Linked DNA regions of Cricetulus griseus. The protein of the gene in region 1 interacts with the protein of each later gene in a biochemical or structural test. Links are inferred from orthologs where the notes say so. Each region holds a gene or a part of one and is shown on either strand. Other genes may lie near its edges. The genes, in order: Cftr, Prkaa1 and Pdzd3.

Region 1 (2,488 bases):
CAACTAACCTGGCTGGCATTTATAACTGCCTTTCCAGCTCCTAGTGGGGGGCAAATGTTTCCAGGAAAATTTGGCTTGCAAAACACAAGTGGCCCATTGTCAAGCAGTGCCTTTCAAACAATCTGGCCGCCACTAGCAAGCCAGTGGCCCAGACCCATAGGATTGCTCTTGATTTCTCTTCCAAAACAGTCTCTTAAAAAGCAGAGATGGGGGCTTCACCCTATTTTCAAAGGCACAGATAGTGGGGTTCTCCTTCTCAGGGTCCATGAACAGACATCCCGCATGATTCTTTTCCAATCATTTGCACTGCTTTCTAGAGTCTGTCTTTTTATCTTTCCCTTTTCCTCCTCCTTTTCTTCGTTTTTCTTTGTATACAGCTATTAATGTGCATGTGTGTTCATGTGTGCTTGCATGTGGAGGCAAGAGGATATCTTCAGGCACTGTCTCTCAGGTGCCTGGCCTGCAACTGTCTATGTGGGCTAGGATCACTTGCTAGGATCCACCTGTTCCTGTGTCCCCAGCCCTGGGGTTAGAAGCACAGGGCATGCCTGGCTTTTTCATTTTGCATGGATTCTGGGAATAGACTCAGGTCCACTGAGCTGCTTCCCCAGCATCCTGGCCACTAGAGACGGGTTTCCTGCACTTCTTCTTCTGTCTCCTCTTTGAGAGCAGTGATCTGTGATCGAGGCTTCTGCTTGGTGGAGTGGCGGCCCTGGAAGAGCTTCATCTTTTCCGAGGGACTGATGGCCTGCTGGAAGACACTCTTCTCACTCAGCAGCGCCTGCAGGGAGTTGTACTGCCACACGGTGCCCTCTTCAATGACCTAGGGAAAAGGCCATTAGTGAAACCCCATACAGAGTGAAGAGCAAGCCAGCTCAGGAACAGAAACGGACCTAGCCCCAAAGGAGAATAAAAATACAAAGGAAACGCAGAATTCACAGCCATGTACACTTTACTTAACTTTTACATCTATGAATGGCTCTGAAAGTAGCAATTGGAATTTCAAAAAGTCATCTAATGCCAGGTGTTACACTCCTTCAGAGAACTGTAGGGCAACTGAAAGAGGTTTGTAAACCTGAATGATCCATGATCCATCTCTCATATACTCTTAAGATGAGCTGTATAAACCATACCATAAACTTTGAACTTCATCAAAACCGAGTCTGAGGCCTAACAATTCCAAATTGGCTAGGCATAACTGATTATAATGCCTGCAATGCATGTTAACGTTTTGCAAGTCTGAGGCCATAGAGAGCGTTACCCAGTTCCTGAATTTGACCCCAGCAGAACAAGAGATGCATCTTCTCTATAGTCACTTGCAGCTGAGTAATGACAATAGGAGTAAAAACGCTTTGGTAAGAAGAGCATTTACCTCCACAACAGTTGGCAAAGAAAATGACAAGGTGGCCGACAAGGGCACTAACCTGACTTCTAGACGTAATGAGGATAATTAAACAGGCTTCTCTCCTATTGCACTAAAACCACAGACAGTAAAGCCCATCCCTTATCTTCCCCAGTGGGAGTTTAGTTTATTGAAAGAAACAGGTATTTTTTCAATAGTACATTTTATAACTTGTTCCCCCAAATAAAGACCTGAAAGCACAGATGCTTGGTCTACAATGCCATTTAGCAATATGCTACCACTGGGAGTGTGCTAAATTTCAGCAGCACATTATAGCTCAAGTCAAAGGAAAAGGACACATGTAGCCACACCTAGGAGAGCTGGAAGATGTGTGGCATATGTATGAAGGAAGGGACACATGACTATAGTTTATAGTAACTGATGTGTAAGATTGTTAATAATAAATTAGGAACGAGACACTGAAGAAGTATAAAAGACTCACCAAAAATCGCTGACAATCCAATATTGCTTCTATCCTGTGTTCACAGAGGATTACTGTGCAACCACTGAAGGTGTGTTTTAGAACCTTTCGAATTATTTGGTAGGTTCTAGCAAAGCAAGAAAATACCACATAAGTATAATTTGCCTTTACCTTTGACAATATGCACAGTGTCCTATAGATTTAGTTCTTTACTTAAAAAATACTTTTACCATTATGTTGATACAGAATTAGCCATGGTCATCTTTCTAACAAGGGATACATTCTAAGTATTTCATACATTAATGAGACAAATGTTTATAAGAAATTTCATGAAGAATGAAGCTACATTTTATGTAGATTCATCATCAGTTCTTTATTCTGCAGTATTAATGAATTTGTAATAAAAATATAGAGATGGATAAAGATACAGAAAGAAACAGAGTGTTTACACCTAAGTAAATATTTCATCATATGTTGATGATGTTGAAGTGTTTGTACGAAATTCCAGACTCCAGTCAGGAGAGGAAACAGGGATGTTATGGAAGAAAATAAGTACATGTTCAATAGTGACTTTCTCCTGGACAATTTTTTTGTTGCCCCTACTTGCAGGCATGGTATCAGAATGGGGATTTGTATCAATGAAGTAAAATTCAATTACTCTACTC
Region 2 (3,656 bases), on another chromosome or scaffold:
ATTGCAATTGTTGCTCTGTTATGCTCGCAGATGAAATAGGAGAAACTGCAGAGTGAAAAGCACTGAACTGAAGTTGGGAGGGTAGAGTGCCCAAATGGCCGAACCTTTCTGTTCATTTGTTTCCTTGAACAAATCATTGTTTTCTCTGGCTTTGTTTTATATTAGTAAAATGGTTCTTGGCTGAGATGATTTCCAAGATATCATCCATATTTCAAGAGATTGATTCTGTGCTTTTAATAGAAAAGACTTTTAGTGGTAGGGGATTTTTTTTTTTTTTAAATTAAAACTCAGGTTATTAGTTTCCTGGCTCTTAGTGTAAAAGTCAAGAGTGATAGATTGTGTACCCTGTGTGAACTGGTCATCCATCATAGGCATTCTCCATGCTGTGTGGAGAAACTGTGAGTGAGTGGCTTAATCCAGGCACAGTACCCCCATTTGAGAATGTATTTAAATTACACATGCTCTGGGGAGCTAGTCAGTAGTCTCACTTAAAGAATCTGATCCATACTGTTGGACCTCTCAAGGGACAAATAGTAACATGTGGGAATTCTTTTCACCCAGATGAAATAACAGAAGCCAAATCAGGGACGGCTACTCCACAGAGATCGGGATCCATCAGCAACTATCGGTCTTGCCAAAGGAGTGACTCTGATGCTGAGGCTCAAGGAAAGCCGTCAGAAGTTTCTCTTACCTCATCTGTGACCTCACTCGACTCTTCTCCGGTTGACTTAGCTCCAAGACCAGGAAGTCACACAATAGAATTTTTTGAAATGTGTGCAAATCTAATTAAAATTCTTGCACAGTAAACCTAAAACTTTGCTTATTTCTTTGATGCAATAAGCATGCATAATAAATTATAGCCAAACACTTCCACTTATCAAGTTTTACATATATATATATGTGTGTATATATATATACATATATATATGCATATATCTAAGGATTGGCCTTTGGAATGCAGTTTGCACAGGGATTGGAAAATGATAAAAGCCTAATGTGCGGAAATGAATTGGGACCATTCTGTTGTCCCTTATTCAATAGATATATACAGCAAAATATATACAGAATGGATTGTAGGTCTCACTTGATTTTTGACCATTTTAATTTGGTGTAACAGGGCTTTGTAGGCCATAAATTTACCATAAAAGCCTTCACATATGTTGATGTGTTTTATATTTGCTTCATGAATTAATTATTTGCCTAGAATTCCCCATAGACCTTCTTAAGTGATGCTGTTTTCTGGGCTCCTTAGCTTCTTAAATAGCTACTATTTCCATTTCTGGTAACATTGTGAACGATTTCCACAACATTAAAATGCTGTTTTGTGTGGTAAGTCATACCAGATACAGACTCAATTTAAATCTTTTCTTTAGCTTGTAAGCCCCCAAATCCATAGAATTTATGTATTCAGAAACCCTGAGCCCTAAGTTTACTTCTACAATTTCCCCCTTTGATTTGTATATGAAGTGCTGCTTTGGATCCAAGAGTGGAGTTGCTCATACTGTACTGAATCATGTTTTTTCACTGTCATGGATTCTTCTGGCTGTCATGCCAGCCACTGTTGAATGTCATTTGATTGTATATTTTTAATATTGATTCAGTGCATAGAAAGGACATTTTTTATAAGCTTTGAATACGTGGATTGGATTTTTGACCCCTGATTTTATTCTGGACATTTAAAAAAAAAATACAGTGATCGCATGTATGTCTACTACTTAGTTCCAACAACTCCTATTTGGCTGCATTTGCTCTCTAGATGCACATATGTACAAAAACAGATATGCATATATGTTTGAATGTATGTATGCTTTTGTTCTGAACCACTGAGATGTTAAGAAACACATACTCAGTCCTAAATACTTAAGCATCTCCTAAAAATAATATTGTCCTTTAAGAAACTCTTGAATGCATTATAAAACGAGTAATTTCCAGACAGTGAATGGCCTTCCATATTTATCTCTTAACTGTCCAGAATCCCGTTTATATTTACAGTCTCATTTCAGCTCTATCTCTTTAATCAGGTAAATAATATTCTGAAAAGGTGGAGAAGGGATCAGTTCTTAAAATGGTCAAGTTTATTTCAGGTTTTACTTTTAAAAAATTAGTGGCTATAGAAGTAATATCTTTCTTAGATCTCTGATTTCTATGCCTCTCCTCTTTCAGTGACAGCACAGCATTTGAGTTGTAAATGAAGATTTAAAGTCAGGGAAGATGAAGCTTGGTGTTTTATGAGCAAATAATGTCTTATTGTCCACATTTGGCTTCTATTGAAGTTTAAGAAATTGGGTATGAGGCTCTAGCTCAGTGGTGGTGTTTGTCTAGGATGCACCCAGCATCCTGGGTTTGATCCCAGCAATGCAAAAATACATTTTCTTTAAACATTAATCATTTTCCCTTTGCAGGAGAGATATTTTTTTCACTATATTTATTTTAATCCCCCTCACCCCCCAATGTGTTGAGCACTTACGTAACCAGAAGGGAATGAATTTGGAGGTCATGATAGCTTGGTTTATGCACTGAATTCCAAACAAAGATTATGATTCTTTTGTTCAGGGCTTGTTTTATTCAACTCCAATTTGGATGCTGTATAAAGTAATGGATCCTCCATTTAAATGAGTTCCGAACTGTATTTATACCGAGTGTGTTTGTGTGGGCGAGTGTGTGTGTGTGTGTGTGTGTGTGTGTGTGTGTGTGTGTGTGTGTGTGTCCTCTGTTTGGGGTTTACTGATATTACTTATGATGTCCAAATGCAGCATTGTGTTCCTGATGTGAAGAAAGGAAGAGTGTGTTTTTTTTAAAGTTCCAGCTTTGTAAATAGAACTAAGTAATATCTCTATAAACTGTGTGGAAGGGGAAGGGGCACAAAAGGAGGAACCAATTAAATAGGACCTTCTAAAAATTGTTAATTTTGTAAACTTTGCTTCTTTTATAAGTTATTCTGTGATTCCTTTTAGTTACCGAGTTTTATTTTGAAGATATTTAAATATTGCACTTGTATAAATAGTATGATAAATGCAGACTATTGCAGTCAATTTTTTCAAGCTAGGATATCTGAAATGATAACTTTCAGTTAAGTATGTCAAGCTTGCAACAGAATTTTCACAAATGTATTGTGAATGTAGTTTGCAAATTCTTATATTGAAAATGTAAGGGGAGTCAATGCAAATGATTTTTAATCTTTTTTTATTATCTTTTCAGCAGTTTATATTTTTTTGTGATTTTATGCAACCATATTTTTACTTTGTCTTGATAACTGAAAGCTGTATAAGTTTTTGCCAGAAAAGTACTGTATACATAGTTTTAAAATAACAGATTTTGCTGATATGTAAAAATTTTGCCATTAAAATTGATTTCTCATGAAAGGAACTTTTCTACCAAGTTGGGACACGTGGGAGCTTAATATATCTAATTTAAAATAATTTCATTGAAATAAACACCATTGCTTTTACTTTGATTATATTTTTTCTTAAGATGCTTTTGTAGTGTTTTGGAGTTTTAGATAATTTTATATAAATTCTCTCCCTTCCTTGCACCGTCCTTTGGACTTTTGATGCCATTCACAGATGAGCTAATGTGGTTGGGTGTGTAAGATCTGTGTTCCAAGTGGCATCTTGGGAATGAAAGAAAAACATGTCTAAATCTTTCTTTCTTCTCCT
Region 3 (3,756 bases), on another chromosome or scaffold:
CAGGGTACAAGAAGCATTGGCGGGAGCCAACAGTGTCAGAAGGCTCAGCTGCATCTTCAACTAGATGATCCTTGGTTTCCGCCAGAGGGGAGTCAGCAATCTCTGTGTTCTCCAAGAAGAGGAGAGGAGACAGCCGTACCTGGTAGTGGGGGCAGAGAGAGCAAACCTGTGGCACTTGAGCCCTGCTCCATCCCTACCCCCTCCCTAACCCTGTCACTTACGCACCATGCTGAAGAAGCGGTCAGCCTCAGGATCAACGACAATAAGGGAGACACAAGAGCCCTGTGCTCGGATCCTAGACACGGTTTCCTCATGGCCCAGCCCGTCCACACTTTCCCCAGCCACAGCCACCAGGCGGTCTCCAGCCTTCATCCCAGCCTTGTCAGCTGGCAGTCCTGGGTCCACATCCCACAAGAACTGCCCTGGGACATAGACATATTCACTTCTCCTCCCTGACTCACCCCATGCTCTCCCGGGGACACTGAGAAGAGTGCAACTGGATATATATGACCATCCTAAGGCCCACTTACACACACACACACACACACACACACACACACACACACACACACACACACCTCGGGCTGCCACTCACCAAGGCGACCATCCAGGCCCTTCTCCTCCCGGAGCAGGAACCCAAAGCCTTGAGGTCCTTTCTCTATGTTTAGACACCGGGGCTTGGCAGGCAGTGCCCAGCCCTCTGCCAGGGGTGCAGCAAGAGGCATTCCCAGCTGATGACACTGTTCCTCTACCTCCGGCCCCGCCACCAGCAGAGTCACCTGATCTCCACTCTGCGAAAGCTGTGGGGACCCAGCAAGAGTAGAAGCATGAACCATCCATGGGGGGGATGGAGAGGTAGATATCTCCTCAGCACCTCCCCCCAGGCCCACACAAACTGTAGAGAAAAGAAAAAGAGGGGCGACGTATACAGACCCTCAGATCAGGAGGCGGGGTTCACGTAGCAGCCGCCACAGGAAGCCCTACCTTCCTACTGAGCTGGTTGGAAGTGAACTTCTCCACACAGACCCCATTCACTTCTAACAGCCGGGCCCCAGGGGGCACTCCTGCTCTCTCAGCAGCTCCTCCTGAACTGAGCACCAGCCAGAAAGGGCCCCGATTTCCTAAAGGCAGACAAAGTAACTCCCAGTCTGCTCCTTGCCTGGAACAGAGTCTGAATTTCCCATCTCTGACAATCCCATCTGGCCCTAAGCTCACCATGGGTGATGCTGAAACCAAAGCCACCTTCGTCTTTTACTATGTGGCACAACCGGGGCCTGACCTCTGGGCCTAGGGCAGGACAACAGAAGACATCGCTCCCCTGCTGAGCGCGCACCACATCATGTGCATGTTGCGCTAAGACTGTCAGCAAGACCCGGGGACCGCTGGCCCGGATGCAGCGTACTACCTATAAAAGGACATGGGAGAGAGGTTGGCCCCCTGGTGGGATCCCAGGACCCCCTTAGAATTTGTATTTCCATTGTAGAAATCAGTTCTGTAGGAGTCTTTATAAAGCGCTCTAACTGGGTACCTCCGAATCATGGGGACTAGGGAGAGTGAGGCTTGGCCAATGCATTAGAGTGCCCAGGCAAAGAAGTGCTATGGAGTGTTCCTTTGTGCCACAAGAAGTCTCAGCCCAGCCTCACCATCGCATAGTCCTCGTGTTCCACGTTCTTATTGTTCACCGCTAGGATCCGGTCTCCTTCCCGGAGACCATGACGTTGGGCAGAAGAGCCTGGATCTACCCTGCACACCACATGGTCAGCCTTGCCCAGCTGCTGCTGCAGATGGAACCCAAAACTCTTTTCCTCCTCTTTGCTCAACAGACAGAAGCGAGGCCGCCGCAGGTTCCAGGGGTCTAGAGGAGGAGGTAGACAGCAAAAAAAAGGAGGGGACACAGTTCAAGTACAGGACCATCAAATGACTGGTAGCCCCTGAGTCCCATCAGAGCACTGGATAGCTTCCAGACAGTGAGAGGGTGGGCTTAAGAGCCGAATGGACACTTCATGGGCAAGGTGGCTGACACAAAGGGTGAGCTGCCTCCCTCTACCTCTGCTTAGTTACTGATATCACTGGGAGGCAGTTAGTGGTTACCAAGGTGATAGGAGACTGTGGCACTGTAATGTCTCTAGGGAAAGGTAATGGTTGCCAGGGGTGAGGGTGTTACCAGACTGGTCCTGGTCTTCAGCCAGGGAGAGGACAGGATTGTCAATGCCCAGCCTTGGATTAAACTTAAACTTCCTGTAAGGAGGCAGGAGAGAGAGGCAAGTAAGAGGAGTACGTTGCTGGACTGGGGTCCCAGGTCCTACTTGAGGTGCTGATGAGAGCTGAGAGTCCCACACACACCTTCGATTCTTCTTCAACCCTTATAACTTACAGAGTTAATGCAGCTGTGTCTCGAAGATCTGCTGGACAAAGGAGACGTAAGAGTAGAGACACACTCCTCCCCGAGATGGAACTTCCATGATAAAAACCTGAAAGGGCTTAGGAGAACCCCAGACCCCTCCCATTCTGCTTCACTATCTTCACACACGGGAGTGTTACCTCCCTCTTATTTCCCTTCCCCAGTTCTGTGGCACATAAATCTGAGACTACCCGCACAGGGTGTGAACCAGGAAGATAGACGTACACACTCACCTCACTCCTCTTTAGCTCTATCTATTGCCTCAGAGCTACAAGCCCCAATATCAAGTGTGTCTTAGACCCAAAGACTCCAAATCTGTCCCCTCTGCTGCTGCCCAAAGTCCCCTTTCAAGGATATCTCCCCACCTCCTACCTGCAGTTGCCTCCATAGTTGGATCAGTGACCCAGGACTTAGAGTAGGGACAAGGTTCATTATAACCAGCTGACCCTCCCACCTGCCCCTTCCCGAGTCACGCCTCCTTGAAGACGCTGCAAGGAAGCAATAGGGTAATGGTTAACAGCAATGGGACTTAGTCTCTGGAAAGTCAATGTCTATGTTCCTTCTGCTCTCAGTCCTGGGCCCTACCTGTCTCAAGAGAGCCTTTAACTAACCCAGTTGTTCTTGTGTCCAGAAAAAAAAAAGGAGATCACTGGTCATTGGAATTCCAGGCTGGGGGCAGTAAGTATGAAAAGGGGGATTGGAATTCTAAGGCCCAGCATGGAAAACCTCATCCCAGGGTCTTACATGCAGCCCCTCCAGCAACAAAATTATCTAAAGATATTTATGTCTTTTCCTTTGGCTATCAGACTATTCAAACACTGGATCCCAAAGATTTGGAATTTCTCCAGGAATCTTAAACTGGAGAAGAGAAAAAGATGAAGCTCTCCCTGGTGCCAGCCAGAATTTGTCTCCCAAGAAGAGATGTCACAGAGTTCTGACAATTTGTCAGATCACCTCACAGGACAGACTGGAGCAGAGTCAATGAACCAGTGGTTCAAAACCACACCCTGACAGAACTGCTTAGTAGGCATACCTCTTGCCCTCTCCTGTATTTAAATCTAAACCCCAGGTCAGGACCCTGAAAGATGAGCTGGGGGCGGGGAGGGGGTTGTCACTGGACCTCTTCTTCATATGGCCACCTCAGACAAATCTCCTTTCTCCACTTTTCTAAGTTAAAAAATTTACTTATTTATAGCATGGAGGTGGTGGTGCATGCCTTAATCCCAGCACTTGGGAGGCAGAGGCAGGCGGATCTCTGTGGGTTTGAGGCCATCCTGGTCTACAGAGTGAGTTCCAGGATAGGCAGGGTTACACAGAAAAAACCTGTCTCCAAAAAAGTTATTTATTTAGGGGGG

What was found.
Region 2: the proteins of Cftr (region 1) and Prkaa1 form a complex in vitro, tested with the Homo sapiens proteins (2 studies listed by BioGRID, with this or other methods). The link is inferred for Cricetulus griseus from reciprocal best matches to the Homo sapiens genes CFTR and PRKAA1.
Region 3: the proteins of Cftr (region 1) and Pdzd3 form a complex in vitro, tested with the Homo sapiens proteins (2 studies listed by BioGRID and IntAct, with this or other methods). The link is inferred for Cricetulus griseus from reciprocal best matches to the Homo sapiens genes CFTR and NHERF4.

The regions. Positions count from the first base shown.
Region 1 is NW_023276806.1:208,285,463-208,287,950, forward strand, and holds the end of Cftr (cystic fibrosis transmembrane conductance regulator), read right to left. Parts: intron 1,951-2,488; coding exon 1,845-1,950; intron 824-1,844; coding exon 623-823; downstream 1-622. UniProt on the Homo sapiens protein: Epithelial ion channel that plays an important role in the regulation of epithelial ion and water transport and fluid homeostasis. Mediates the transport of chloride ions across the cell membrane.
Region 2 is NC_048595.1:339,157,525-339,161,180, forward strand, and holds part of Prkaa1 (5'-AMP-activated protein kinase catalytic subunit alpha-1), read left to right. Parts: intron 1-561; coding exon 562-806; 3' UTR 807-3,656. UniProt on the Homo sapiens protein: Catalytic subunit of AMP-activated protein kinase (AMPK), an energy sensor protein kinase that plays a key role in regulating cellular energy metabolism.
Region 3 is NC_048597.1:155,936,276-155,940,031, forward strand, and holds the start of Pdzd3 (Na(+)/H(+) exchange regulatory cofactor NHE-RF4), read right to left. Parts: upstream 2,790-3,756; coding exon 2,774-2,789; intron 2,403-2,773; coding exon 2,375-2,402; intron 2,239-2,374; coding exon 2,165-2,238; intron 1,856-2,164; coding exon 1,644-1,855; intron 1,406-1,643; coding exon 1,216-1,405; intron 1,122-1,215; coding exon 985-1,121; intron 801-984; coding exon 596-800; intron 423-595; coding exon 226-422; intron 140-225; coding exon 1-139.